Alligator mississippiensis: one gene and its partners. The main gene of each other region encodes a partner of the protein of the gene in region 3 in a complex. Links are inferred from orthologs where the notes say so. Each region holds a gene or a part of one and is shown on either strand. Other genes may lie near its edges.

Evidence for each region. The genes of interacting proteins can lie anywhere in the genome.
Region 1: the proteins of TUBGCP3 (region 3) and TUBGCP6 are in contact, whole or in part, in a cryo-EM structure (PDB 6X0U), measured with the Homo sapiens proteins. The link is inferred for Alligator mississippiensis from reciprocal best matches to the Homo sapiens genes TUBGCP3 and TUBGCP6. Residues at the interface, in NP_006313.1 of Homo sapiens: Pro9, Asn10, Val11, Leu13, Gln14, Glu25, Ala26, Ala29, Gln30, Phe32, Gln33, Val36, Arg37, Ile39, Gly40, Ser41, Phe43, Thr129; in NP_065194.3 of Homo sapiens: Pro65, Arg67, Asn68, Leu71, Met72, Ser74, Phe75, Asp76, Arg78, Asp87, Glu90, Asp151.
Region 2: the proteins of TUBGCP3 (region 3) and MZT1 are in contact, whole or in part, in a cryo-EM structure (PDB 7QJD), measured with the Homo sapiens proteins. The link is inferred for Alligator mississippiensis from reciprocal best matches to the Homo sapiens genes TUBGCP3 and MZT1. Residues at the interface, in NP_006313.1 of Homo sapiens: Lys7, Pro9, Leu12, Leu13, Asn15, Leu16, Cys17, Arg19, Ile20, Leu21, Arg23, Val28, Gln31, Tyr34, Ala35, Val38, Ile39, Asn42, Phe43, Ala44, Pro45, Thr46, Ile58, Leu62, Arg67, Asp70, Phe74, Leu77, Lys80, Leu81; in NP_001065243.1 of Homo sapiens: Asn17, Ala20, Val21, Glu23, Thr24, Val27, Leu28, Glu30, Ile31, Ser32, Arg33, Ile34, Leu35, Asn36, Thr37, Leu39, Asp40, Glu42, Thr43, Ile46, Cys47, Val48, Arg49, Leu50, Cys51, Glu52, Gln53, Gly54, Ile55, Asn56.

What each region holds. Positions count from the first base shown.
Region 1 is NC_081827.1:39,907,567-39,914,693, forward strand, and holds the start of TUBGCP6 (gamma-tubulin complex component 6), read right to left. Parts: upstream 3,057-7,127; 5' UTR 2,977-3,056; coding exon 2,218-2,976; intron 1,394-2,217; coding exon 1,230-1,393; intron 1-1,229. UniProt on the Homo sapiens protein: Component of the gamma-tubulin ring complex (gTuRC) which mediates microtubule nucleation.
Region 2 is NC_081824.1:390,150,811-390,158,022, reverse strand, and holds the start of MZT1 (mitotic-spindle organizing protein 1), read right to left. Parts: upstream 3,057-7,212; 5' UTR 3,014-3,056; coding exon 2,965-3,013; intron 1-2,964. Other genes in the region: BORA (protein aurora borealis), read left to right, coding at 5,554-5,709, 7,077-7,183. UniProt on the Homo sapiens protein: Required for the recruitment and the assembly of the gamma-tubulin ring complex (gTuRC) at the centrosome.
Region 3 is NC_081824.1:352,502,139-352,509,946, reverse strand, and holds the start of TUBGCP3 (gamma-tubulin complex component 3), read right to left. Parts: upstream 3,050-7,808; 5' UTR 2,950-3,049; coding exon 2,874-2,949; intron 1-2,873. UniProt on the Homo sapiens protein: Component of the gamma-tubulin ring complex (gTuRC) which mediates microtubule nucleation.

The DNA of each region.
Region 1 (7,127 bases), on a different chromosome or scaffold from region 3:
CTCTGGGTCCTACCACAGAGCCAATTCCCCCGCCAGAGGATTGAGGTCAAGGCCGCAGTTAGCCAGTTTTGCCAAGAGGTGATCATGGGATACCAGATCGAAGGCTTTTTTAAAGTCGAGATATATGACATCAATCTCTTTCCCCTTGTCCAGGTGATAGGTCACCTGGTCATAAAAGGAAATGAGATTGGTCAAGCAAGACCTACCCGCAACAAACCCATGCTGGGTATCCCTCAGAATATTTCTGTCAGCTGGTCTGTTAAGGATGGCCTCTTTGATAATCTTTCCCAAGACCTTCCCCAGGATAGAGGTCAGGCCGATGGGCCTGTAGTTTGCCGGATCTACTTTCCTCCCTTTCTTGTAGATAGGCACAACATGGGCTTTCTCCAATCTTCGGGCACTTCACCAGAGCACCAGTTCTCAAAGATCCATGCCAGGGGCTGAGCTATGATGCATGCCAGCTCCTTGAGTACCCTTGGGTGTAAATCATCAGGGCTGGCTTACTTGAAGGTATCCAGCCTGTCAAGGTGTTCCTTCACAAGGTCAGCTTTGATGGAGGGTAAGGAATCTCCTTCACCAGGGTCTCCCTGTCCCGCAGTGGGCAGGGGCGTCCCATGGGACTGGTGAAAAAATGATGAAAAGTACTCATTTAGCAAGTTTGTTTTTTCCTGAATCAGTTGTCAGTTGTCCCATCTGATTTAGCAGGGGTCCAATGTTGCCCTTGCTTTTCCTCTGACTCCCCACATATCTAAAAAAGGACTTTTTATTGTCCTTGATATTTGTAGCTAGCTGGAGTTCTGTCGCAGCCTTGGCTTTCCTGATTTAGATAGGAGTGATGCAGCCATGAGCAGAGGGTTGGACTACATGACTTCCTAACATGCTTTCCAGCCCTATTTTCCTATCATTCTCTGACTTTAACTTTTTCAGTTAGAAGCAAACAATGATTATTTTAGACATAAACCATAGACATCTCCTTTTCAGCACTTCCGACAAAAATTAATTTCCCCTGTTTTGCTACTCTCATTACAAAAAGTTTAGCTGCCATCTTTGAAAGGCAGTTTATTGAAAATGTAGGACTCATCCTGTCACATTTGTTATGCAGTGTATTGAAATCTGTGTTCCTAAACAGATGACATATTTCTTACTTATGTTAAGTAAAATAACTCCCAACTAAAACACATACACAAGTAAGTTGTGTGATAACTGCATGCATAAGATCAGATACTTACTATCCAATTCTTTCCCAGCACCTTCGTTTGCTGGGTCCATATGTAAGCACTGCATCCCAAAGGTCTATGTCTGGAGTCATGCTTGGTTCTGACTGAGAATCAGGAGTCAAATTGGATGCTGACTGGAACCCCTCATCTTCAGACTGGTCTATGCTTTGTGGAACCTGCAAACAATCATGATAATTTGACTACTGCAAACATGTATGCTGCATTAATTGAGTAACATATGTTAATACAAAGGAAGTCTACTCTCATTTGCAATAAAATGATTTGATACCATCAACTGTTTTTTCCTCTTGTGATTCTATTAATGACTAATGGAAATCCCCTAAAAGTGAGTCGTTTCAGATTCAGTTACAGAAAATGAAACTGATATCTGCAACATAAATAACAAAATCCACATCAATTCATGATAATATATCTGTGCCTACAAAAGTTAAGAGTATAACTGTTAAACCAAACTACCAATACAACTAAATGAGAATTATTTCACTCTGCCTAGGAGCATATTCTCAGTTCAGACATTGTAAATGGCCAATAATCTGTAATGTTCCAGAACATGCAAGTTGTGAGGGGTCAATGCAGTCCCCAGGCTCCCACCTGGCTGTGGCTCCTCCCATCACTATAGCTGCAAGAGCAGCTGGAGTCTCCAGGCTTCAGCCTCCCACCTCCAGCTGTCACTTCCAGCCTTTGCCCCAGGACACAGGGACAGTGTAGGGAGCTGCAAGTGAGCCCATGACCACGCCATGGCCCCCCCCCCCCGCCCGGGAGGGGTGGAAGGGGGCACAGCGATAGCCAACCAAAAAAATGAAATATTTTGCAGAGAAAGATGTAAGCAGATGCTTTAAATATACATCTCTGTAACATTTATACTGCTACAAGGAAAGCTTATATTTATTAAAGATTGTTTTGAGAAGGTATATTGGAACCACTCATACACGCTGAACTAATGTACGTTTGTGTGAAAAGAAATGCTTTAGCTGCGTACTTTAATTGCAAGACCAGACAAATCTGCATTGTCAGGTACCGGCGGCAAATCCAGCTTGATGTCCATATCATATGTACGGCTATGGACGAGAGCACCAAAGAGCGAGACGCGCGTTTCCTTTTCAAACTTGTCGCCGGCAGGGTAGCTCTGCGAAAACAACCCGATGGCAGGAAGCCCTGTGCCAGGCGCCGCCTCCATGATCTGAAGAGTCTTTTGAATGGTGTCGTGGAACTGACACTCTTCGCTGGCGATGAGTGACTGAATGTCAGCTTCGAACACGCTGACATCGTAGTAGTCGTAACCCTGGTACTTGACGTTTCTCCCAACGTACTTGTTGTTGAGGAAATAGTCCTTCTTGGGGGGTAGCAGCTGGGGAGGGCCCGTCCCCGCGAGCTGCACGAGGAGGTCCAGGATGGAGTTCACCTCGGCAAAGGGCAAGGCGCCCGCTGTTTCCAGCCCCTCCACCAGCGCCTCCAGCCGGTCGGCCTGGGCGCCCAGCCCACCCACGCGCAGGTTGAAGGACAGCATCAGGACCTTGTTCTTCACGGGGAGCCGGGAGCAGGGGGGCGGCGGCTTCCGGGCCTCATCCTGGAACAGGCCGAGGCAGAGAAAGAGTCCGTTGTAGGCCGCCCGCTGAAGGCGCCGCTTGGCCGCGCGCTTGCCCACGGCGCGCCCGCCCAGCCGCGCCTCCCAAGAGCAGGCGGCCAGGTGCGCCTCGCACAGCTCCGCCAGCAGCCGCGGGAAGCTCTCCATGGCCATGCCGCCGCCCTCACCTCCCGCTGCGCAGGGCCCTCGGCGCCGTGGCCTCGGGGACCTGCCGCCCCGCGCCGGGCGATGACGTCACTGCGCCGGCGCGCCTGACTGTCGTCACGACCCTCTCCCATTCGGAGGGGCTGCAGCCCCGCGCGCGGTAGCGCTCTGATGGCGTCACTGCCGCGCGACGCGCCCGCGACCTAACCCCACCCCCCTCGGGTCTCGCTTTCTTTCCTTTCTACCCCGATTCTACAAGTTAGCAAAATCGCTTTGAATTTTAATCCCACTCTTCGAAAGGTTTGCCACCCCTTCTGATTCAGGCTCTACCCGTCACCTCCATCCATGCTTCCAGGTCATTAGCAGCCATGGTGAACCTCACCAGAGCCAGAGTATATCGTTAAACAGCCCATTTCAGACCTGCCAGTCAGGAATGGATCTGTTAATATAGTTTGTAGCTATTCAGCCAGTTGTGTATCTATCTAATGTCAACCAGAAAGGTTTTTACTTGTATAGCCATAGGCAGAAGACATGTAAAAAAGATTATTGCTATTTAAAGTAGTACTCAGAGTATCAAAGTCCATAACCATTAATATCAAGAAAGATTATGACTAGTCTTTTGTAGTCTTATGTATACACTTTGTTTTCAACGTTCAACATCTAAAAAAACTCCCTATTTAGTTGGTCTAATAAAAGATCTCACATTTACCCAAAGAACTTGTCTGCCTGTGTCCGTAGACCAACACGGCTACAACCAAAAACTCCAAAGCTTACAGAAGCTTAAGTCCCACTTACTTTCAATGGGGTTTAGGCTGTTTTTAGTGCTCTTGAAAAGATCACCTTAACTTCAATACTATCAAAATGAGAAAAGAGCTATTTAACAATACAAGTAACATTAATAGATTTTCAAATATTAGCTTTATTCGTGCTGCTTTATCATGATCAAATATTAATGTTCCAATTACAAAAATAAATAACGATCTTTACAATGGCTGGAACAAATTATATTGTTCTAGTAGTGATGTGCCTTGTTTTAAATTGTTCCTTGCATTTAATGTTTAATGTCCTGTTCATTTTCCAGTGTCAGCCAGTGGAGTGAAGAGAGAAGAACATAAAGCCCCTGGGTTTAAAGTGCTTTTAGAAGTATTTGTATTTCAATATGAGCTAGATATCAACTGTTTACATGATTCATAGCATTGTCAGAAGGATGATGGGTACAGCAGGGGGATTCATATAGTAAATGCCATACTTAACGGGGCATGTATTTAAAAGCAACAAGAGACACATGCCTAATTCTGTACCTAGGATTAATTCTCTGCCAAGACCAGTCAAAAAGCACTGCTCTGGTAGAGGATGGTTTCCTGTTGTGTAGGCGCGCCTGCTCATTAACATGCCACTGAAAACGGTAGAATGCAAGGTCAAGAGGCACATTTAACAGCACAGCAGGTGCACTCTGCCAAAACATACCTGGCATGTTTGCAAACAACAAACTAATTCCCATTTGTTGGAATTTTATTTAGCTAAATTAGTGCGTATTACAGTTGCACAGGATCACTAGGCTTCTTATTTTTATAAAAGAACCCTCTTTTTAAAAATGTATTGCATGTATTCTTTATGGTCAGGAAAAAGGTTGTTCTGAAAGCCCAGGAAAATGAAGTTCTCTACCTATAGAATATTTGCAGCACATATAGGAGCAGTGTTTCGCACTGTTGTGTTTCTAAAGGAAGATATATTAAGTCAAAGGTTGTACTTAGTCTTGACAACAGAACCAAGACATGCTACAATGGAAAATAACATGCAGTATGTAATATAATTAACACATCAATATTATCTTAGGTTGCCAAATTATCATTATTTTTAAATGACCCTGAATCCACACACACAGACTTTGCTTCAGAATTAGATTTTAGTGAGGCTTTTTGATATTGTCTCCTATGCCATTCTCATTACTAAGCTAAGGAAATGCAGACTAAATGAAAGTACTGTAAGATAGATACATAATTGCTTGAATTGTTGTGTTCAGTGCATAGTCATCAACATGGATCCGGGTTTTCCGTTTGCCATGGAAAAACGCAGTAATCTCATTTTGCAAAAAAACCCGATGTTCTCCTTTAAAGGAAAAAACATGGGAAACAGTGGGTTTCTCCTTACAGGGTGGCAGAGTTCCAGCCTGCAAGGGGCTGGGGGGAGGCGGGCGGTGAGGCAGGGGGTGCCGTGTGCATGTGCATGCATACACATGCACATGGCTGCCAGGCAGCCTGGAGAGCAGCTCCCACAGGTAAGTCTAGTGGCAGGGGGAGGGGGGGGGGCATGTATTAAAGCCCTCATAATGAGGGACAGAGGAGTCATGCAGGGCTGGGGCTGCTGCTCAGCCTGGGCCATGCATGGGGCTTGAGGCCCGGGGCTGGAATACACAGCCATAGGGCCTGACTGGGAAGCGGGACAAAGCCATGGGCAACTCATCCGGGGGGGCGGGCCTGGATCCCCGCTGCTGTATGCACTCCCAGGGGGGCCCTGGGGGGCATGTGTCCCAGATTTGTGCACAGGGTAGGGCAAGTGCAGGCTGCCCACTGCAGGCTCAGGCTCCCTGCCCTGCTCCCAAGGCCTTTGCAGCCCAGGGGGCAAAACCCAGTGCAGCAAAGTGGGGTGGGAAAGCTCATTGTCACTGCCATGAGCCCCGCACCACCATAGCGAGGAGCCCACTGCCCACCAGTCAGTGGTGAGGGTGGAGGTGCAGAGTTGTGCCCCTTGCTGCTGACGGGTAGGCAGGGAGCACCTCACTGGTGGCGTAGAGCTCCCAGCAGCAGCAACGAGCCTCCCTGCCCAGCCCCATTCTGCCCTGTTGTGGTGGGCCTTGCCTGCTGGGTTGCAGAGGCCCCAGGGCCTCTGCAGCCTGCGGGGAGCCCAAGCCCACAGACCACATCCACTCCCCTGACAGGCTCTGCTCAGGTTGTGCCACTGTGGGGGGACCCAGGGTCCATGCCCCCCTTCACGACAGCTGCAACCTCCCATGGGCAGCATTTGGGGTTTGGGCCCTGTAGCCCTGGCAGCTGGGGGCCCCTTCCAGCAGGGTTGGGGAGCAGGGGAATCTGGGTGCAGAGCGAAGGGCATCAGTGGAGATGGGGCGCTGTGGATTGGGAGTGAGGGGCACTGGCAGGGCCAGGGGGCCGTGCCGTGGTTGGGTAGTGAGGGGCACCAGCAGGACCAGGGGGCTGTGGGTTGGGAGTGAGGGGCACTAGCAGGGCTGGGGGCTGTGGCTTTGGAGAGGGGCAATGGCATGGGCAGGGCACTGGCATACCAGGGCTTCTCAGCACCACAAAGCAGTGGGGGAGATAAAACAGCTGGACTCACGTCCTGGTGAGCAAAGGGGGCCAGGGGAGCTCTGATTTGCCATGTTAAAAAACCTAAAATCAAAAGCCAAAATTTACTGGTATTTAGAATTTATTATAGTGATTGAGGGTGTAGGTTGTGTCACAACCCAAGGGTGTGATTTTTGTTTGTGTGCGCTTTGGCACCACTGAATTATTTTCCCGCCATTTGGAGCTTTCTTTGCAGGGTGCATTTCTTCTTTGCAGCACAGAAATGCACGTTGCAAGGAGTTCCCGCCATTTGTATTCTAATTCAAGCCCGGTTATTGGCTTGCATTAAATTATACACACGCGGCGGCTAGCGATTGGCTTGCTAGCCATATAAGAGGCTTGAGTGGTTTCCGCCCAAGTTGGAGGACTCCACGAACATCAGGAGGAGGAGACTTCATGTCTCGTGAAGATCTCTAAGAGCTGTGGAGCCTATTGGACCCAGTGTGAATATCAAGAAGGCAACAGGGGTCTGATCAGCCTCTCACCTCTCCCCGTCGCCGCTTGATCCCTTGACGTACCCTTCCCTGCGCGCAAGTTCCACGGAGCCTAGCAAACTTCGTGCGAGTCTATTCAAAGCTCTTTGCTTCGAGTACTTTCTTCGGTTGGCGCGACGGGCTCGCGGTTTAGAGCCTCCAACCGGATGGGCTAAAAGAATGTTCACGGGAAGGAACTCTTGTCCGCCTCTCTTCTTTTCTATCTGTAACTATAACTCAAGCAAGTTTTCCTGCCTGCACCGCGACCATCTTCGGTGTAAGTAAAATAAAATCAACCATTAAGTGTCCGTGCCTAATTTTAGCGTGT
Region 2 (7,212 bases), about 38 Mb from region 3:
TCTGGCAGAAGGGCAATGGCTTGTTACAGCTCGGGAACCCAGAAGGTGAATTCTGCTGTTGCTCACCTTCCCTGCACTGCCCTCCATTTTCTCTCTGCCATGAACCTCAGTTGCCAATGGTAACCCAGAATTCCCTAGCAGACAAAGATGTGTGCAGGGAGCAGGCAAGGGCTGAGTGGTGGTAATCTCTGACTTCCAGAACCACGTTGACAGTGCCGCTGGAACCCAGCTCAGGAAAGTGGTACTTCAATTTATGATTTGTTCTTACTCAGTAAGTGTCTTTGGTTTCTTGAGAACAGTAAAACATTAAAATAGAAGTTGAATCAGATAACCATTGAATCAAGAACCAATGAATAGAAACTGGAAGTATAATAAAATGTTAGGTTGGAAATTTAGAGGAAAATCTCCAACCATGAAAACTAAATAGCTCTGGAACAGCCTTCCAACAGCAGTAATGGGTATGAAGTTCTTACTAGGTTTAAAATGGAGCTTAGGCAGTTTATGAAAGTGACTGTATGACATCATCAATTTTGATATTAGGGCATGGAACATGATCAACCCTTCTAGACCTATGTTCCCAACTAGTGTTTGAAACCCTCTGTTGCCACCCATTCATTCAAGTAAATGTGAAGTGTTGCTTCTTATTCCCCTCAAACAAGAAATTTAACTCTTAAACTAATTAACAAGTTTGAAGGAAAGAATATTTAGCAATCTCTCTCTCATATTTTATACCACCATTGTGAGCTCTTCCCTAAACTATTGTTTACAAAGGTCTTTTCAATAGGCCTATCCAGTTTCCATATGTGAAAATTACTAATGGACACAGTTGATGAACCTAAAAATTCTTCAGCCATTTTCCTGTAACTCTTACTGCTGACAGGAAAAAAAAAACAACATCAGAGCAACACTAACATCTATTTTTACTCAATTTTTTTAAAGTACCTTCAGGTTCCATTATTATTGTATCTAATTATCCCACTATTTCACTATGTCTAGAGAGAGATTAGAAGAATTCTCTAGACAAAGACTGGGTACTGAAGGGTGAACCTCATTCTGCCCCATTTGTGCCTGGTCACAAAAATAAAAGAAAAAAACCGACTTGTAACTAACTGAAATGGGCACAATAAAGTTGTGCTGCAAAAAACAAAATAGGACCCGATTCTGAAAAACAAAATAGTTATAAAGAGACAATATCTCAAGCTCACCCAGCATACTTGATTTGATCAAGCTACAGAAAATCACTACCTTGATTACATAGTGGAAAGAGCTTATTTACATTGTTTAACAGAACAATGAACAGAAAAATTCAGGGTCTGGACTCCAGGAATACTCAGATTAGTGTAAATGTAGTTTGAATCTGAGACAGACAGGTGTACAGGCCTGTTATAACAGTATAAGGCTGCCTGGAACAGGTCAAAAGTGGTGCTTGATTTTCCAGGTACCTTTTGAACCAGTTCACTGTGATATTAGATGTGGATACAAAATGTTCCATGACACCAGTTTGGTCAGTCCTCCATTAACTCCTCATTGCATCAACCTCTTTCTCCCAAACTCTATTACCTCTGACATGTCTCCCCTTGTGTTGGCATTTTCATCACTGAGCTCTTTTGCACTGCTCGTTCAACCAAAGCTATCCAACAACCAGCTGAATCTGCACTCCCTACTCCACTGTGGCCCCTCATTATACTTCCCCAGGCCCTAGGAAGTCAAAAGTGCAAATCTAAGCACTTTCCCCCCCTCCATTCCCCCAGACCACCCCAAATGAGGCAAGCCCATGGCAGACTTTGCACCACTGCACTTGGGTTTACAGAAGGGAAAGCAGAAAAGGCAAATGCCCCTAGCCACAAGTCCCTCACCATTTGGACCCTGAAGAAAAAAGTCCAGATATAGTGGGCTCATTCCTGCCTCCTGGTGATGGAGTCACAGCACTTCATAAGACCTGTCAGTTACTGGGTCAATTACATACTTCCATCTTACCCGGCATCCATCTGCCTGACCAGGAAGAAGGTTCTGGCCCAGAGGACCCCCAGTGATTGCAAGGTCATCCTCCTGCCTCTCATCCACCTTGTTCAAGGGCCAGTGGGCACTGTCCAGTGTCCTGTGCTCACAGCCCCCTCTTGGTGCATTTGTTGTGAACAGAGATCCTGGTTTTCTCCGATTAAAAAAATTCTCAATTTTCAGTTTAAGACAAAAGTAACCCAAAATCCACATTTTTCCACAATTAAAATGAAGCGCCACTAATATCTAGTGGATTTGGTCAAGCTACAGATACATATCTATATATTAGTGGCTTTTCATTTTAACCACAGGAACATGTGGATTTTGAGTTACTGCTTTAATCTGAAAATTAGATTTTATACTTTTTAAATCAGAGAAAACCAGGATCCCTAGCTATGACCCTCTGACCTTCACTTCCATTCCCGCTTTGTAATTAGCTGGTACCTACCTAATACCCCTCTTGCGTTAGCAGTGGCTAACCCTTGCTCCAGGACTCAAGGCCTAGGACACCACCGTGGGTGTCCAATAGGCTTGTTTCATCCACGTCAGCCTCTGGGCAGTGCTGCGGGCTCACTCCATGGGATCACACGGGGGCCAAGGGGCCCCTTGGAGAACTCGTTACTGGCCTCTGCCCTTCCCTCCTACCCCCATCAGTGTTTTGGAAATCTGTCGCTGAACACTAAACTGCTCCTGGGCATCTAACGGCGGGGCTGTTCTCGTCTTGACCCGTGCTCGTATTTCTTTCGCACAAATCAAGCACGGGAGGAAAGTCTGCAGGCCCACCGCGCGGGGAGGGAGAGCGCGGGGGGGAAACCAGGGCGGCGCTCGTTTCCTCGGGGGAAGGAACAGAGCTGCTCCTCCTGCTGCCGCAAACCCCTGCTGAGGCCGGTCCAGCTCCGGACGCTTCGGACGCCAAATACGAGTGGATCCAACGGGCGCCGCAGCGAGCGCCCGCGCCCAACTCACCGTCCATGGTCTCCCGCACAGCGTTCAAGTTGGCCGCGTTACTCGCCATGGTGACAGACAGCGTGCGCCTAACCCGCCACCCGGAAGCACAAACCCGGAAGCGGAAGCCCCTCTTAACAGGGAAATACATAAAACATACATTCAATTGTATATATTTATTCATATAATATATATTATATTTTCTATGAAAATATATTATATTTCCTTGTTAGGAGGAAAAGATAAAATATAATTTATTTTTATATAAAACAACAAAACTAAAAAAACCCCAAAACAAAACAACTCTCCCCCCCCAAAAATCCCACCTCTCGCCGGCGCATGCAGTTACACCTCAGGAGCTATTTCCGTCCCTGCCCGGCCCGCTATGATGTTTCAAATACACCCCACCTACTCCTCCGTGAGGAGGGTTACTCGTTCGAATTTGTGAAGCGAGCCCTGCGCCGATTGGGCTGTTTGAGAGCGGTTGCCACGCGATTGGTCAGGCAGGTGAGGCGGCGCTCGATGATTGGGTAGCGGCGGAGCGTGGGGGCCGGGCCAGTTAAAGAGCTGCCTGGGGTCAGGCAGAGGCGGTTTCACAGGGATCCGCGGGCGGAGGCAGGTATCGCTCAATTTTTGGGTCATCTTTTTTTTCCCTCTCCCTCTACACAGGCCTTCCTGGGCTAGTGCGGGCTAGAGCCCCCATCCCCCCTAGGCTGATTATTTCCTTGGGGGGGGGGGGGGATATTGTCTTTGCGCATGCACAGAGCGGGCCGGGATTAGGAGAGAATCGGGGTTCTGAGAGGTGCTGACCCTACGACCGCGCATGCGCAGAACAGGCCAGAAGTGGCGCATCGAGGGGCTCTGCGGATGCAAAGCTGGAGGAAGGAAAGAGCCTCGGGGTCCCTCGTCCCTTCTCCCTCCCTCCCCCTCCTTTCCTCCCCCACTGCCCCTCCAGGTTTGGTTGCATATTTCACTTAATTTCCTAAAAATAAAGTTTCAGTGGCAATAGTGTGGCTTTTTTTTAGCCTGCCACAGGCCCTGTGCATCATGTGTCACTTGACTTTCTTGGCCAGCTTGAAGGGAGAAGAAAAAGTTCTTACTTTCCGGGATAAGCATACAACTAAGGCAGTGCTGGGGCCATGTGCCCAGTCCAGATATTTCTCATCTGCCCAATCTGGTGTGGTGGGTTAAAGGGCACTCATTGGATTCAACCCCTGTCTGTGGTAACGGGGCTAAAGCTGCTCTCTAATCCTGTGTGCTGGCTCCAGTCGATGCTAGGGCTGTGTCATCTGGCTTGGGACTCTAGTTAATGCAGCCACTGCTTTCCCCCACAAAATTTCCAGACCTGGGGGAATCGGTATCAAGGGCTGGGCGGGGCTTCAACTGACAAGAGTGCACAAAGCTAGTCAAACACAGCGTGGAGCGGAGGAGGGTTGTTACAGGGTCTGAGGTACCCCAATGGTCGCAGCAGCCTCTGGACTGACTTGTCTTGAGGATCAGTATTTATTGCATATAATGCACATCCCATTTTCCCTGAACTCATTTTTGTGGGTGGGAGGGGGGTGGAGGATGCAGGTTTTATCCAAGAAAAGGTTCTGTCTTCTCTGGGAGAAGCATGGTTTTGAGTGGTACCTGTATACCGTTATGCTTTCCATATACAGCCTTTCAGTAAAGAGGTTTCTTCAGACACTTGAGGCCAGATGCTGTTCCGTCTGTTTCAACAGTCCCTAGGCGTGGTTCTCTTCCACTGTGAAAGCCCCAGGAAAACTTAAAACCGTATTGGATCCTTCTCCACCTCCTTGTTGCTACTTTTTTGTGATGGAGTCTTAAGGTTAAGATCAGTGCAGTTACAAAGCAAGATGTATGGGTTTGGATGATTGGCCAGGAATTCAAACTGGGTGGAATAGGATCACGCTTAGGGTATGAACAGGCATCTTGTATGTCCTGGGACCAATTGTGCAGGTAATTGTCCTGGAACAGAAAAGTCATGTGATAGCCGTGTACATGTTGCCCTTCCAGTTGGAGTTTAGTTAGTGGCTGAACGCATGGCTGCTTTTCTGGCATTGATCCAGTGATGCAATCCCCACATGTCTGTTGAGATGCTCTTCAAAATATCCTGGGGCATATTTAGCTATCTTATCTAGTAAACCTTTTTTGGGGTCTGTACTGGGTCAATGAAAATGGCATCTGAATGATGGATTCACTGAGGTTCACCTTCAAATTAAAACCAGGTATAGAAACCAGGTATAGAGTCATTATCCTGTGATAATTACAGTGTACTTGTAGCTGGCCTAAATTTATTGAGCAGTTAACCAGTTAATTGCATGATAACTACCTTGCACATGTAGCTGGTCTACACTTATTGCACAATTAACCAGTTAGTTGCATAACATATGTCTCATGTAGCAGGGGCCTAATTCTCTTTCTCTGATTTATCTGAAACCGATCAGAAAACTGACCAAATTTAAACTTCTTGTACTCTCTTCAGTCTGACTAGATTTTGAATTGCTAATGTTTCTCGAAACGATCGTTTCTTACTGCAAAACCATGGGGTACTGAATGATCTAAAATTATAACTTCTTATTTTCCTTCTAGGTATTGTACTGTGTTATGGGTGATAGAAAAGAAGCTAAAATGCATATAACACCGGAAACTCCAGGACGGGTTGCTGTTCTGAACCCTTTTGAAAGTCCAAGTGATTACCATAGTCTGCAGGAACACGTGGTTTCCAGTCCTTCTGTCTTTAAATCAACGAAAGCCTCATCGGTAAGATTTAATCCTTAGTACATGAATATGGAAGAAATAGCAATACTTCCACATACACATTTTTCACACTTCGTAAAGTACACATGATTTGTAATACAACTTGAAATATTTTTACAAGAATTTAAACATAGTTCCTTCTGTGGAAACTTACAGTATTACTATGGTTGGTTTGTTTGTAGTGCTGTGTAACTGTTTTGAAAGTCTTGATGTTACTGCAGTTTTAGTGATTTTAAGAAAACCCAGCTAGTTGTACATGACACTATTCTAATAGTATTGTTGAGTTAAAGATGAACAATACTGGTTAGCTAGGTTTTCTTTAGAGAAATGCTGTCTGCAGTAACACTTGTTCCAACATTTTGATTCAAGTAGGCTGGGTGTAAGTTTAAACTCAATAGTCATAATGCCCCCTACTCCATGCTTTATCTGGCCTTGTTTAAGGCTTGAACTCTCTTCTATACAGTGGCCTAGTTTCAACACGGAGGATGGGAAGTGTCTCTACCACAGAACATGCAGAGTCCAGTGGTTACCTGAATAACTCCATAGGGAGGTAGTTGATGTAGGTTTGAATCTGGGTCTCTGGTGAGGTCTGTAGCTACTGGGCTATCACATAAGATGGACACCACTAGCACCTTCTTTCCCTTTTTAAAAAGAAAGCAGCCATAACTGCATTTTTGTATGAATGAAGCCTTGTATACGGATGCATGTTAGGTGTGCTCTGAAGACACAGTTCATGTCTATCAGGGGACTTAGGTAGGGGACTTTCTAGGTTTTGAATTTTAGCTGGTCTTTGGTATGATTTTGGCCCTAGTTGTTCAGACAGGAATCATCTTGTGCCACATGTGGAGATGTAGCTCTAGGTGACATACTTCTTGACTTTAAAATTTTCTAGGCACCAATGACTTCAGGCTCCTACAGGGCTAGATGGCAGCTGAACAGGTATTTCTGGATCTCAGTTTTGAATTTAGGGACCTAATTTCTGAACCGGATCTGACCCTTAGATACATCATTTACCACTTCCATCTCCATTACTCATCTGTGAAAGGGGCATAGTGGTATTCTCATAGTAGTTCTCTGAGACATATTTGTTAAGAGCTTCGATAATGGAAAGCATCAGTTAATGCAAAATAGTAGATAGACTTTGTTGTTTCACTTCCTATGGTATTGGTACTGGTTATTAAAAATAAAATTATTAAAATGTAAGTAGTCACTTTCTCCTTTTTTGTTGTTTAAATATCTAGCTTTCACTGATTGAAACAATTGCTGCCATCTTAGTGAGGTAATGAAAGTGCCGTTCCTTTTAAAGATCTGTGGGTTTTGTTTCCTTTTGCTTGGAATAGTAAACACTATGCTCTTCCTTCTTTTCTTAGACCCCAGGAAAATTTAGGTGGTCTATTGATCAGCTGGCTCTAATAAATCCTGTGGAAATTGACTCTGAAGATGTTCGACGTCAAGCAATGTATTTAAGTCATGCTAGGTATGTTGCTTGTTGTTTTACCTAGTGAA
Region 3 (7,808 bases):
CCCTGCTAAAAATGTGTGTGCAATTCCTAATTCCAATGCCTCTAGCTTCAGCTTCCAGACACTGGTCCTTATTATACCTGACCCTGCCACATTAGGCACAACTCAATATTTTCCTATGGACGCACTTTGACATTATAGTCAAATCATATCTGGGTCTTTTTCATGAGCTAGCTATATCCGCTTTGCAAACAAATATGTCCACATTACTAAATGAGTGCAGAAGCCTTATCTAAACAGCTCTTAAGTATGCACACATATCCTACCCTTCCTGTGCTTAAAGTGTTTTATCTGCTTCAGTTTAATATTGATCCAAACAAATAAAACCTGAAGAGTTTTGAGGTACAAGCTAAAGATTTGTGCCTGGCTATTTTCTAGTTGTATTTAGGTGCATGTGCCTCCCAAGTCTCACATAAGGAAGAGCTAACAGAAATGCTTAACCGACGCCCGCCCCCCCACAAATCCCAAAGAGCATTTTCCCTCAGTTCTAGGGAGTTCCAGTAGGTCTGTCATTTGCAAAAAGTACCATTTTTAAATGGAAAGTTGTCCAAAGGCTACAGTGCCCACAACATTTTGTTGAGGGAGACCATTGTTTGGAAGTCTTCATTCTTATAGGCCCTTTCCTGAGGGGTCAGGAGCTGCAGGGGCAAACCTGAGCTCCCCTCCTCAGTATAATTAACTAGAAATAAATGTACACAAGATTAAAGTACCCTATCAACATCTACAAAACTCTTGCATCCTGGTTTAAGTGTACCCATTCACAAACAATGACCAAAAAAAATAAATAAAAAAAGATTATTTTCCCCCAAAGGCTGAGACCAACAAACAGAAAATAGAGCTAGGGTGCCTGGGGGAGGAGGGGTGGTGGAACTGTGACCAACATTTCCAAAATACTAGTATCAATTTTGAAAAGTAAAGAGAAGAGACCATCCTTTTTATTCTCTGACAAACTTCAGAATTTGGCAATACAACCCAACCCTGTTCCCAGGACTTCAACCTCGACTGAAATACTTCCCTTCTTTTCCATTTTAATTGGTAAAAGGGAATTATGTTGTGCCTCCTCCACAGCAGTAAGCTAAAAGTGCTCAGACTAGAAGTGTTCTTAAAAATAAAGCACACAAACCAACATACACACATTCAAGGATTTAGCTGGGAAAGTAAAAATCTAAACACAGAGTGCCACAGAGCAACAGCTCTGAAAACAGACGCAACGGCACTTAGAACTTCATATTGCCATTGCCTTAAAATTTCAAATGCTATTTTCAGAATCAGCTCTAAATAGAAAAGTTTATTGCATAAATGATATGCAATATCCAGTTTATATTTAGGAAACATACTGTTATCAACTGAAATATCAACTTTATTTTAATCAAATTATAAGCAATTTACATATGTAGTTCTGGGACCTTATTCTTCCATAAAGGATATCCAAATATCTCCAAACCGAAAGCAGTGGTGGTTACTCATATCCTGCTGCAGATGAACTATGGAGAAGAAAACTGGCCTGCAAAGGACACATGTAAAACTGACTAACAAAGACCTCACACATAAGGGCTTAACACTTTTTGGACAAAAATCTTCAGAGGGATTCTTAGTTTTCAAACACATTAATTAGAAACATGCGTTTCATTCATCTAGGAAAAACACCATGGCAACTCCAGAAGCATGGCAGTTATGATGCTTCAAAAGATTTACAAATGACCCTTTAAGTTGGACAGAATCTTCAGGAAAACCTGTTGATCATTTTTATTTTGTGAAGAGGGAGAGGGAGGGGGTTGGTCTTATGTTTTGTTTTGGGGTTTGTTTGTTTTTAAATACATCTTTATCCCTCATTCTCAACACTTCAGCGAAGGTGAGAAAATTCAAACTTCTCCTAGACTTCTCTCAAAAACCCTCCAAGCAAAAATTACGCTAGGTGACACCTGACATTCCCAGTACTTAAAGAAAGTACAGCAACTTAAAAAATGCCACCAGTGCACACACAAGCACAAGTATGTGCATAAGCCCCTTTCAGACCGCACATAACTATCAACGAGCGTAACCCTTTGGGCATCACCCTTTAGTCAGAGCAAGCTAACGAAGAAGTCAACCAGAGCAGGTCAGGATCTCATATAACAAACCTAGGAAGAATGATGCCTCCAGAAACACAGGGGAGGTAATACAGCAAACATCCTATCTGTTGAGATGGGTGCACGCAGATTCCTCTCCGCTCAGGTAAGGTTGTATCATCAGGGTACCACCCCGGCAGCAAACAAGTGATTTTGGCTGAAGTCCCCCAGGCAAAGGCAGGAGGGAGGAGGAAAGATGGACAAAGCATCTCCAGTCACAGACAACTTATTAACAGCCCAGCAGCCTCGCCCAGGGCACCCACCGGGTGGAACCTGGCGGCTGGTTTCATTCTGCTGCTGCTCAGAGCCTGAAGGCAGTGCAGAGCTGCCCCAGAGCTGGCAAGTGCCCTTCCCCTGCAGGAGCCAGCCAAGGGCAGGTGTGTGCAAGGGGGTACCCAGCCTACCCCTGCACACGGTAGGAGAGAAAAGCAGGGCAGGGCCTTCCCCAGGCAAAAAACAAACAAACACTTCCCACTCTGCCCTGGGCCCACCCGGCTGCCTGCACGTAGCAGGAGCAAGAGAACCCTGCAGGCCCGGCTTGTGCAGGGGGGACCCGCACCTGTGCTGTGCTACCGCCCTCTCTCACCCTCCCGGCAGGGCAGAGCCTCCAACAAGGCCCGGCCACCCCCGCAAGGGCCCAGGGTCACGGGCAAGCTCAGCCCACTGCCCGGGGGCACTGTCCACCCTCCCCACGGTGCAAGGGGCTTGTCCGGCTCACGAAGGCAGAGCGTGGCAGGATCCGCGCGGGGGAAGGGGGACAGCCGTTACCCTCGCTCTTGCCCAGGATGCGACAGCAGAGGTTTTGCAGCAGGACGTTGGGCGACTTCTGATCCGGCCCCGCCATCCTCGCCGCACCAGCGACTGCCCCCACGCGTGTAAGCACAACACCTCACACCCCGCCGCCGCCCGTTACCTAGGGCGCCATTTTAACACGGCCCGCCCAAAGCAGCGAGCGCCCACAATGCCCCTGCGCGCAGCCCCAAACGCCTTCCCCCGCGCCGCGCGCACCCGCGTCGGAGGTTCCGCCCCCCCAGCGGGCCCCCGCCAGCCAGCCCTCACCTGCCCTCAGGGCCGGGCCGGGGTCCCTCCGCGCCCCGCTCACGCCCCGGCCCGGCTCGGGCCGGCGCGCTTCCCGCTGCGGCTCCTTGCGAGAAGCGCCCGAGGTGGCCCCAGCCTCGTGTCCTCCGCGCCGCCGCCCGCCAAGGGAATGCAGAAATCTACAAGTCGTGGTTCAGAAACGATACCTTTTATTAGACCAACTGGGAAATCGCAACAACAGCCCCCCGCCCCATTTTCTACAAGCTTTCGGGCTCAAAGGCCCTTCATCAGGCATTGGAAAAATTAAAGATGTTAAAAAGTCCCCGGAGGTAGGAAATCATCTTTATTTTTTGCACAGAAGGAGCTGGACAGGGAAATCCTGGCCCTCTGGGTCCATGAGAGTGTCTCTGAGTTGTTCCTCCCACCCAGGGCCGTTCCTCGGCTGGGTGAATCAGGACAATTGCCCCAAGTCCTGCGCTTTGGGGGGGCCCAGCGGACAGTGCCGTACAGCCCCCGCTGTACACCACCGGCTTTGCACTGCAGCTGTGTGCCACCCCTACACCCCTCCGGCTCCATGCTCTGCCGTTGGCTATCCCCTGGCCCCGCACGGGCTGATATGCCCCAGGTCCTGCACACCCCTAGGGATAGCTGTGCTCCCACCAATACCTCCCACCAATAAACCTTTTCCCCACACTAAACAAGGAGCCAGGCTGCAGAAATGGCCTCCTGCACCAGCTTCTACCTCCAGATACACACTCTCTTATGGGAGGTTTTCAGGGCCTATAATAAGAGCAATATGAAGGAGAGCAGTGCCAGGGAGACTTGGGTCCACCTCTTATGCCCCCTCTCCAGTGCTTCAGCACCTAAATGCAACCCTTCTGCTCTGCTTGAGTCCCAGGAGATCCTTCCTGCTGTCTTTTGTGATATGGGCCAACCACTAAGCCACCAGCTGTTGCTGCTACAATGTGGCAGTGTTACCTCTGTTTCAGGGGTCAGGCTGGATGGAATGGGATGGCAGTTGCAGGGAAGAGAAAGAGACCCCAGGAGAAGATACAATAGGATCTTTCATCATCACGCAGTGGACTGTGATAGCCACCACCTTGACCAACACATGGCCTGTGGGTGACTTTAATGTGGGGAAGCTGGAACATGGAAATAGCACCCATACAATCTTGACAAGGTGGCAATCCAGACCCAATAACAAGGGAGAACTGTAGACAACAGGAGAACTCCCTCTTGCTGCAGTCTTCTTCCGCCTTTACAGCTGCTGAGATCCTAACATCTTCTATCTGCTCTGTCATTGAGGACTAGGGGTTGGACGGTAGTGTGTCTGGGATCTCCCCTCAAGCCTGTTTGCCATGGGTGACTGCCAGCAGCGTGAGACTTCAGACAATATCGCTCTGAGGCTCACTGGGGCACGCAAGCCTCTCCACCACTACAAGGTTTCTTGCCACAGAGGGGCTTGGCCAACATACCAGGGCCCTAAAAGCATGAGTTTCTACTACAGCTAAGGAGTCAGGCTTCCTAGCTGAGGACTGTAACATACCTACATCCTTTGTGGACAGAATACAGACATGGGACATGTAACACCCATTGACAAGGAGGTAACACATTTATACATTTAAAAGTATGACTTGTGTGCATCAATGGTTAAACAAACTAGTAGCTCAACCTCAAAACCCTTACCCAAAGGAGCAGTCTTAACTGAAGAGCTACTAGCAATTTTTTTATTTAGGTTGTCTAATACTTTTCACTGTGAAAGATTCTTGTGACTTATTTTTTAATACCTCCACACTTGGCAGCAGGCCATTGAAATTCAGCATGGGATAATCCTCAAGAAAGAGAAATACATTTCCTTATTTCCATGAAAAGTCTCTTGAATTTTATGTAGGTTTAGTTAAGTTATAAAACTATTAAAAATTGTAGTAGTGTTGGAGTGTAGTTGTAGCCATAATGGTCCAGCGAGAGGGAAGGGGGTTTTGTGATATCTTTATTTGGCCAAATATATAGTAGGCACAGATGTTGGACAAGCTTTGGGGCACAAAATGCCCTGCCATTTTACAGCCGTATTCCTGGGGGAAAATAATAATTGAATCTCAATATTATGAACAAAAGGTTACGCCCAGATCATCAATGCAGTAGTACTCACTGTAGCAGTGGTAGGAAACTGGTCTGGAATAGGCCTTCCTTGCTGACACAGTAAGTGTGGTACACAGGCTCCACAATCTGTTCTCTCCTCTCAGAAGAGCAAAAGGTCCCCCAACATTAGGCTTCAGAAAGAGGCAAGCAGATAAGAGAGAGCCCTGACTAACTCCTGTAACCAATTCCTGAAGTTAGCACATGGTACCAGTAGTACCCTTACTTTTATTTTTGCTCCAGGATAGCTACCAGCTAATAGTGAGACAGTGCAATGCTACAGAAGGTTCAGAGTCCAGTCCCTGATAATGATCCATATGTTGAGATGTTACAAGTTTTCATAACAAAATTCATTTTTACTTTTTTCCCTTTAAAAATAGGAAATTATCTTTAGTTTTAATTATATAACATTAAAAGAAAATTATTTAGGTCAAAGTCAAGAAGTACCACTGTTATAGTCACTTGTGCAACTTAGTATGTTCTCCTTGGCATATTTATTCACATAATTTTTAATTACATGATCACATGCTATTTTTTCCAGAAGGCATAAGTTAGATGCACAAGAGGGTAGAATATGTTACATGGATAACCAAACATTTGGCATTTACTTGCTTAAAGGAGTTGATGTTGTAAGTTTTTTGTATTATTAAAGTACATCTAGAGGACCCAATCAGGGATCCAAGTTAGGCAGCATGCAGACATAACAAGGAAGGTCTGTCTGCATGACTGCTTTTATACACGTTTCAACAGAGGCAAGATTTCATAGACATTAGGGCTGGAGGGGACCTTGGAAGATCATCGAGTCCAGCCCCCTGCCCCAGGGGCAGGAAGTCAGCTTGTAGCAAAACTCCCAATTTTTTTTTTTTTAAATGCATTGTCTCCCCTTTCCCCAACCATTTCTGACTCTGTCTCTCCCTCTCTATTCTCTATAGATAAGTAAAAGTGAGCTAAGACATAGGATAAGCTTCAGCATTTTATTTTGGGAGAAAGTTGTATTTGTTTTGTTTTCTCTCCTTATTTATATTGTATAATTATTATGTTTATATTGATTTTTACTGATCTATATTACTGTTTTACTGGTACTATATGATTTAGGCCTACATTTGTAAGTTAGCATAAGTCATGTCAAATTTCCATTTTGTTTGTCAAGTCTCCATCCTGTCCCCAGGCCTGGTTGTGTAACCTATGACTCACACCTACCCCTTCTATGTAACTTGGTTCCTAAATGAGGGTGCTTGAGAGACAATGACAGTAGGTTTAAAAATAGCTCCCTCTAAATGACCAAACCATCAACACCAATACCTGGACCAATGACCCAGCCATTGGAACCACCCTCAGCATTCAAGAAACAAAAGATGAGGCAACCCACCATTGTGCCAAGGCTGCACATGCTCAATAAGAACACCTAGAACCCTCTGGAACAGGACTGACATTGCCTGGACAGGCCCTCCCATAGGAGATCAGTGTATATGTACTGAGTGTGTGGGTATTGACAATTGATTTTTGTCTAATTTTAGTGTGTATGTGCTTGACTTGGTGATAAGTATGCATGTGCCTAGGCTGGTTTGGATGTGTATGTGCCTGAGCTGGTAGTGTGTATGTGTGTGTGTATGCACTTAATTGATTTGTGTGTTTGTATATGTGCAATTGTGTCACACCCTCCTGTGTAACAGCACAATGTTGAGATCCTGAGATATGGCCTGACCCCACAGGGCAACAAGCTGGGGTCATAGGATCCCAGCAAGAAAAACATCCAGGTTTCTCTTGAAGGCGTTCAAAGTAGGTGCTTGAACCACCTCCGGCGGCAGGCTATTCCAGACCCTGGGGGCTCGGACAGTAAACAAGTTCTTCCTTATGTCCAGCCTGAAATGGTCTTGCAGGAGTTTATAACCATTCAACCTTGTCATCTCTTGGGGCATTCTGGTGAACAAATGTTCCCCCAGATCCTCGTGAACACCCCTTATAAACTTATAGGTGACCATCAGATGGCCCCTGAGCCTGCGCTTTTCCAGGCTGAAGAGTCCCATAGCTCTCAGCCTTTCATCAGAAGGTCTGTTTTCCTGACCTCTGATCATGTGTGTGGCTCTCCTCTGGACTCTCTCAAGCTTCTCCACATCCTGTTTGAATTGTGGAGCCCAAAACTGGACGCAGTACTCCAGCTGCAGCCTCACCAAGGCCAAGTACAATGGGAGAATGACGTCCTGGGATTTGCTTAAGAAGCATCTATGGATGCAAGCCAAGGTTTTGCTTGCTTTACTAGCTGCAGCATCACATTGAAGGCTCATGTTCATCTTGTGGTCAATCCTGACCCCCAAGTCTCTCTCATCTGTAGTGCTAGTCAGTGTAGCACTGCCGAACCTATAGACATGCTGCAGGTTTTTCCTCCCAAGGTGGAGAACCTTGCATTTTTCAGTGTTAAACACCATCAGATTCTTGTCCACCCATTTCCTGAGTCTGTCAAGGTCAGCCTGGATTGCCCCCCTGTCCTCAGGTGTGGATGTTTTACCCCAAAGTTTGGTATCATCGGCA